Linked DNA regions of Bombyx mori. The protein of the gene in region 1 interacts with the protein of each later gene in a pairwise test. Links are inferred from orthologs where the notes say so. Each region holds a gene or a part of one and is shown on either strand. Other genes may lie near its edges. The genes, in order: vacuolar protein sorting-associated protein 45 and rabenosyn-5.

What was found.
Region 2: the proteins of vacuolar protein sorting-associated protein 45 (region 1) and rabenosyn-5 interact in a two-hybrid assay, tested with the Drosophila melanogaster proteins (2 studies listed by BioGRID). The link is inferred for Bombyx mori from reciprocal best matches to the Drosophila melanogaster genes Vps45 and Rbsn-5.

What each region holds. Positions count from the first base shown.
Region 1 is NC_085122.1:2,067,386-2,071,210, forward strand, and holds part of vacuolar protein sorting-associated protein 45, read left to right. Parts: intron 1-75; coding exon 76-216; intron 217-648; coding exon 649-786; intron 787-2,420; coding exon 2,421-2,669; intron 2,670-3,742; coding exon 3,743-3,825.
Region 2 is NC_085116.1:3,152,615-3,156,539, forward strand, and holds the start of rabenosyn-5, read left to right. Parts: upstream 1-1,208; 5' UTR 1,209-1,376; coding exon 1,377-1,793; intron 1,794-1,913; coding exon 1,914-2,061; intron 2,062-2,294; coding exon 2,295-2,515; intron 2,516-2,984; coding exon 2,985-3,179; intron 3,180-3,661; coding exon 3,662-3,925.

The DNA.
Region 1 (3,825 bases):
CAACGCGCCTAAAGAAGTTTTACTTCAATAACATTCAGATCGGATCTAAAGTAACAAAAACGGTGTTGGTTTTAGAATCTTTACTCCAACTTCGGCGAGATCGGGCAAACCATCAAGTCTCTGATGGAGGAGTTTCAGACGAAAGCGAAGAGCAACCAGAAAGTGGAGAGCATCAGCGATATGAAAAATTTCGTGGAACAGTACCCACTCTTCAAGGTAAGGCTGGACTTACAAGAAGACTCACAATATTCACGCTGGACTCGAAGAAGACTGACTACATTCTGTCACGCTTCGATGTCATCTTGTGTATAGTCTTACTGTAGTGTAGTGTTACTGAGATCTTTTCAGTTGACTTTTTGGAGGATCTCGAGAAGTGACGTTCGGCGGCTTTGTTTAATTTTCCCACATTTGTGCACTTTCACAGATATTAAACAGTTAATAAACCACCGTTATTACACATTTAAACCTGAAGAAACACTAAATAGACAAAATAAAACAAATCACACAACTTCACTACTCGCGTTCCCGCCAAAAAGTCCAAAAATTATTATTTTTTAAATAAAGAAGAAGGGTTGCCGTGTCCGGAGGTTCCAACCCTAGTTGTGATTGTGCGCGGATGACTCCTCATTTCCCCCGTCGTGTGCGCAGAAAATGTCTGGCACGGTGACGAAGCACGTGACCGTGGTGGGGGAGCTCTCGGCCTGTGTCGGCCGCCACAAGCTGCTCGAGGTCTCCGAGCTGGAGCAGGAGATCGTCTGCCAGTCAGACCACTCTAAACACCTGCAGGTTCGCTCGATCACTACCTCATCACTCAGTTAAGGACACAGTCATGCTGTATGTTGTCGTCCTCTTTGGACATGATCTGGTTTACTGCATAGGTGGATGGAAGTGGTTACTGGAGCCCATAGACATCTACAACGTAAATGCCGCCACTCACCTTGAGATATGAGTTGTAAGGTCTCAGTATAGTTACAACGGCTACCCCACCCTTCAAACCGAAACGCATTACTGCTTCACGGCAGAAATATGTGGCGTGGTGGTACCTACCCGTGCGGACTCACAAGAGGTCCTTCCACTAGTAATATTTAACCCATTTTGTCCGCGGCGGTGGAAGTAATTTGTCACCAAGTAGGTATTGCCTTAGAACAGGGTTATAGTTGCTGTGGAATTTGCACAGTGATGTGGCTTTTTATACACTGTATAGATAGGTTTGGAAGGTAATAATCTTTATCTCTTTGGAAGATCTTTAACCGAGTGGCTGATATTACTCGGTTAGACCAACGGCTTACGATGTCTAAGGCCTAGTGGTCCGTACGTGGTGTGTGGGTGAGGGTGTGCGGGTAGCGTGACGTCACTGTCCCGTAGCGGCTGAAGGCGCTGCTACGACGTCTAGTGCCTAGTGGTCCGTACGTGGTGTGTGGGTGAGGGTGTGCGGGTAGCGTGACGTCACTGTCCCGTAGCGGCTGAAGGCGCTGCTACGACGTCTAGTGCCTAGTGGTCCGTACGTGGTGTGTGGGTGAGGGTGTGCGGGTAGCGTGACGTCACTGTCCCGTAGCGGCTGAAGGCGCTGCTACGACGTCTAGTGCCTAGTGGTCCGTACGTGGTGTGTGGGTGAGGGTGTGCGGGTAGCGTGACGTCACTGTCCCGTAGCGGCTGAAGGCGCTGCTACGACGTCTAGTGCCTAGTGGTCCGTACGTGGGGTCCGGGGTGAGGGTGTGCGGGTAGCGTGACGTCACTGTCCCGTAGCGGCTGAAGGCGCTGCTACGACGTCTAGTGCCTAGTGGTCCGTACGTGGTGTGTGGGTGAGGGTGTGCGGGTAGCGTGACGTCACTGTCCCGTAGCGGCTGAAGGCGCTGCTACGACGTCTAGTGCCTAGTGGTCCGTACGTGGGGTCCGGGGTGAGGGTGTGCGGGTAGCGTGACGTCACTGTCCCGTAGCGGCTGAAGGCGCTGCTACGACGTCTAGTGCCTAGTGGTCCGTACGTGGGGTCCAGGGTGAGGGTGTGCGGGTAGCGTGACGTCACTGTCCCGTAGCGGCTGAAGGCGCTGCTACGACGTCTAGTGCCTAGTGGTCCGTACGTGGGGTCCAGGGTGAGGGTGTGCGGGTAGCGTGACGTCACTGTCCCGTAGCGGCTGAAGGCGCTGCTACGACGTCTAGTGCCTAGTGGTCCGTACGTGGGGTCCAGGGTGAGGGTGTGCGGGTAGCGTGACGTCACTGTCCCGTAGCGGCTGAAGGCGCTGCTACGACGTCTAGTGCCTAGTGGTCCGTACGTGGGGTCCAGGGTGAGGGTGTGCGGGTAGCGTGACGTCACTGTCCCGTAGCGGCTGAAGGCGCTGCTACGACGTCTAGTGCCTAGTGGTCCGTACGTGGGGTCCAGGGTGAGGGTGTGCGGGTAGCGTGACGTCACTGTCCCGGCACAGCGGCTGAAGGCGCTGCTGGCGGACGGCGCGCTGCGGGACAGCGACGCGGCGCGGCTGGCGAGCCTGTACGCGCTGCGCTACGAGAAGCACGCGGGGCAGGGGGTGGGGGCGGCGCTGGAGCTGCTGCGGGCGCGGGGGGCGGCGGACGGGGCTCCGCTGGCCGCGCTCGAGTACGGGGGGGCGCACGCGCGACACGGGGACCTCTTCGGTCTGCAGGACGCGGTCAAGATCACCAACAGGCTCTTCAAGGTAATCTAGAATAATCCAGATACCTAGAGATTTATCATCGCTCAGTTCCTAAAATTCTTATTATTAGCACGCCAATCGAGTGCCGTGTCCGCAAGGCTTCACACCCGTCTGTATCTATAACAACATGATGGCTTGAATGTTTCAATACACAAAATATTATTTTAATAACCTAAAAGTACATGTTATTATCCGCAACACGCTTCGTCAGATTACAGAAATAGAGTTACCAGCAACATGCTTCGTCAAAAAGTACAATACTTACTTTCAGCTACAGCGTCGTCATAAGTAACATATAGGTCCACGCTAACAGCAATGCGCGCGTAGGCATCGGCTAGTCAAACAAGCCACTCTGGATCGCAACCGGCCCGAAAGTACCCATTAGTAATACCCATGTCTCAATTGAGTCTTCCATCTCCTGTCTCATACTGCCGAGCTGGAGATAAAGGACCACCGCGCCCTCTGTGCCAGTAAAAATATAATTTGAGATTGCATAAGCTCTAATAACCTCCCCTAGGTTTCTCTTATGCAATCATAGTCGGGTAGTTGCATGATCACACGCATTATGCTTATGATAAGATCGGAATAGAATAACCGTAAATAAACGTATTAAAAAACCTCTCATAATTTGTTTACGTCTATAGTAATTACATAAATAAAACCTTGACATAATTGGCGATTCCCTTCCAATATTTAAGAACAAAATTATAAAAAGTTGTTGTTGAACCTCAGCCTCAGCCTTGGTCTGAGTACTCGGGTATTACTGCCCTTGTTGTCTTTCTTTTGTTTTTAATTTTTTATTATTATTAATAGTATTGTTAAATCTCTATTAATATATTAATGTAATGCATGCTGTGATTGCCTATAATTAGAGTTGCAGTTATCAATTGCTCTATACATGTCAATGTTAAATGTCTTACTGTAAACCCTGTCGGTAATCCTTAAATAAATAAATAAATATTAAAACATTAGCCGATAGTGCCTATCCAAAGAGCTACGTGTAGTATTCATCGTTGTGTACTGTATATTGATGCAAAGAGATCCTTATGAGCTAAACAAGTGTACTAAACTATCAGGGTCTGAACGGCGTCGAAAACATATACACGCAACACACGCCCCCCCTGAAGGACACGATCGAGGATCTGTTGAGGGGCAAGCT
Region 2 (3,925 bases), on another chromosome or scaffold:
GCGACCCCCTTGTGTAGTGACCATGTCACTTACCACTACACCAGACGGCCGTTGTATAACAGTTGTCAGTATAACACACTTGTTGAATGTCAAAATATGAATAACAATGTTAACTCTACCACTTGTTCATTCATCGTTGCCCAGGCCTAATTTTCCAAATTCCAAAAAAAAATACAAAAAATTAAACGTGTTTATAGTGGCAGCGGCAAAAATAAAGATAAAGCTGCAATGATTGATTCGTTCATCTAATCAGTTCAAATTCGATGGATTTACAGTATTTTTATATAGACGTGAATAGAACATTAATACATCTAAAGTGCTTACATTAAAAACCTCTAAAATTTGTCAAAGTTCTCAAGAGAGCGAAACGGTACTGTACGTCTTTAGTGTCTTGTGCTCTACAGAGTATAGAGTCGGCATTCAGTGAGTACTGCTGCCTTCTCTGATTCTTTTTTTTTTGTCCTAACTATGCTGATAGCCCTGAGAGGCTATTTCAACTTCTCCTTGACGTGTAGATGAGCTCACGGGGCTCAAACCGGGAGTGTTGCTAACACTGGTCCTAGCAAGAGCAGCGCTTCGCGGAATCTACCATCGGATCGGAAACGTGATCCGGCGAGAAACTCAGTGGGCTCTGTCTATGACGTTAATTCACTCGTCGAGCCCTTCCACGGTTTCGACTAGGACGGTGACCGGATTCCTGATTCTCTGGCCCCTTGACTCCGTACAGGAAGGGCCGCTCAGGTCAGGCCCTTGTGTTTTATACCGCATGGTCACTGAGGAATGTTCTAATAAACTCTTCGTCATCATTTTTCCTCATAGCCCGCAGCTAACCAGAGTTCCTTTGTGGATCTACTTAATTTTTGGAGGTGGGTAGATGGACGGATTGCTTGTATCCCGAAGGCTTCAGAACGGATGGGCGTACACGGGCAGCCAGGAACGGTGGGATATACTAATAACTGACCGATAGCCCCCGAAGGAAACCTAATAGCTCGAGAGCAGCTGTTTCGCAACCTCAACACCGAATTTCAACTCTAGGGTAAACTATTAGCGTTAAAGCTAGAAGCGACGAACATGGCTTCCGAGTGACTCCCCTCTACGATTTTTTCTGATCACTGACATTTTTTTATTTGTTGGAGTGTATTTAATAAAGCCCATAGATTATACACTTAATATATACGAATAAAGCCTATAAAAAAAAACACAGTGTGGTGTTGAATTAATGAAACGCACATGTATGGCTCAGCTGACGTTTGACACTTACTTCCTCTTGACAGTAATCACAATTACTGTGTGATTAATGTCTAGTGTTCACCTTGGTGATGATTAATAATTGCAGTTAATTTATAATGCTAAATTGGTGAGAAGTGATATTAATAATGGCAACGGCCAACGACGATGAAATTCTTGAGGGCTTCTTGTGTCCCATATGTAAAGCAGATCTCAAATCCGCCTCACAACTAACAAATCATTTCGAAAGTCTTCATCAAGAAGATCAAGATGTTTTGAAATCATTAAAAGACATTTTTGGTAAAGCAAAGACAATAATACTGAATAATGACAATGCTGATTTGAAAGAGACATTCGCGCGTGCTTTGAAGTTTAATTACCAAGATTATTATGATGAAGAGCAGGTGATCGGAGTATCACGTAGTTCAACCGATTACTTTAAGGGTGTGAGGTTTTCCAGGCTTGAAAGATACGCTACGGAGACTAATAAGCTGTTGATTCGGTTGGATAAACTCATTTGTAACATGCCAAGTGACCCTCATCAAAGAAAAATTCATGAGCAAGATGTATGTATTAAATAATTATGTTTAATAGTTAACCTGGTAACATTTAACTAACTAAAATAATATAAATGCCATTGGAATGTTAAAATAATTTCTCATTTTATTGTATATGTATTTTTCCAGGCTGTGCCATGGTTAGATGGTTCATCAGTTAATCTGTGTCCCAACTGTGCGAAACCCTTTCACTTGACACGCAGGCAACATCATTGTCGACTATGTGGCTCCATACTATGTCATGACTGCTCTGTTTTTCTAGATATTGAAGTAGCTAGTAAGTTACACATATATTATTTTAAATATTCTTCAATTATGTTATTAATATAGTAATTAACCAAAAGCAATGACCTTATGCAACTCTCCAGTATTCTAAAAAGGCACCTAACTCTTGATTGAACAGGGAAAACAAAATAATATATATTTTAGTTTAGTATCTTGTATTATTGCAGTGTAGAATTACAACTCCGATTATCTTGCCTGTAATGAGTGTATGATTTTACATTTCAGAAACTATTATAAATCCATCAGCTCCAAAACCAGTATCAAATCCGGAACTAAAGCTAACAGAGAAGAATGGATTACGTCTCTGTGAACATTGTTACAATTTGATCAAACTGCGGAAACAAGTGCAAGAAACAAGAAACACAAAGACTGAACTCGTAACGGCCTATGAAGAGATGAGGAGTCTTATGGAGCAAGCCAAACCAGCTGTTGCTATGTATGAAAAGGTATTTATAAGAATTTGTGACTACTTGTCTTGTAGTGTCAATAGAAAATATAAAAAAAAAAGAAAAAACAGTAACTACATATTAAGTACATTAAATTTCTTCTTACCAATTTTGTAAAAAATTTATTATTTTCAAACGGTACTGTTATATTCAAATATTATTGTTTTTACTTGTGTAATGTATTAGTTTGGGTATTACTAAGTGCGGATGGCTTAAAATAGATACACAATGAACTGACATGTTACCCGTTTAGTTTGCTTAGGTTCATTCATTCATTCATTCATCATCAGCGACTATTGTCATCCACTGTCGGACATCTCCCTATCCATACCACTGAGCCCCGTGTTTGGCTCTCCTCATCCACCTCTTCCGGCCAACACTCGGAGATCATTGCATGTGCTTAGGTTCATAATTCACTAAATAAAATAATAAAACAACAGCTTAAGAACAGTTTCTACATACATTACAGATGTGCCAAAGTCTCTTTGATGGTGAAACAACCTACAATATGTCTGATGTGAATGCAATGCGAGGTCGTATAGGGAAGTTGGCTGAAGGCATAGACTTGCTGAGTAAGCAGATAGTCAGCTTCCCGGCAGAGCCTGGCACAAGGCAAGCCAGGCTACAGAATGCTATAAGGCAAGCTGCAGGACATTATATTAAGGTAAATAAAAATGCTTCAATATTTATTTAAAGTGAAACTTTAAATTTTTAACTTTAAATAAATATTTACCCTCAACTAGTTTTTAGAGATTTCTAATGTAGTCATGTCGGAATCATGATTTAGACAGCGACTTTGTATTGCTTACTTCTATAACCATCAGCTTGGCTGTAATAAAAAATGTTTAGAACAAAAGCCTGGTAATATTCTTAATCTTCCCATGTACCTAACACGAATTAAAACCATAAAATAATTATTTTGTTCCTTAATTTTGGACTGAAATCTTGTCAAATTTGGATTTCTGAAATTTAGAGTAGATGGCTCGCTGGAGTCATGTTCTTACTGACTACGAAAAACATTTCAACACATCTAATAATAAAAGTACTGGATACTGATTGTAGATAATAAAGAGAGAAAAAAAGAAGAAAATATATTTCTACGTTTATTGCCTTGACATTCATTTTCAAATAACGTTCTGATTTCAGGAAGACTTACTGTCCTTAAGGAAGCTCCCGACCGAAGCTCAGATCGAGGAGGTGCGTCGTCAGCGCTACGAGCGTGCCGAGAAACAAATACAAATGGAGCGGGAACGTATGGAGCGCGAGCGGCAGCGGCGGGAGGGTGCGCCCGGCGCCGCCCCACCCCCCGCCCTGACCCCCGCCGGCGCCCAGCACGACGACGACGACGACAACCCGCTGCTAGAGCAGATGAATATCATCAGGGGGTATATAAAAGAGGCGAGACAGGAA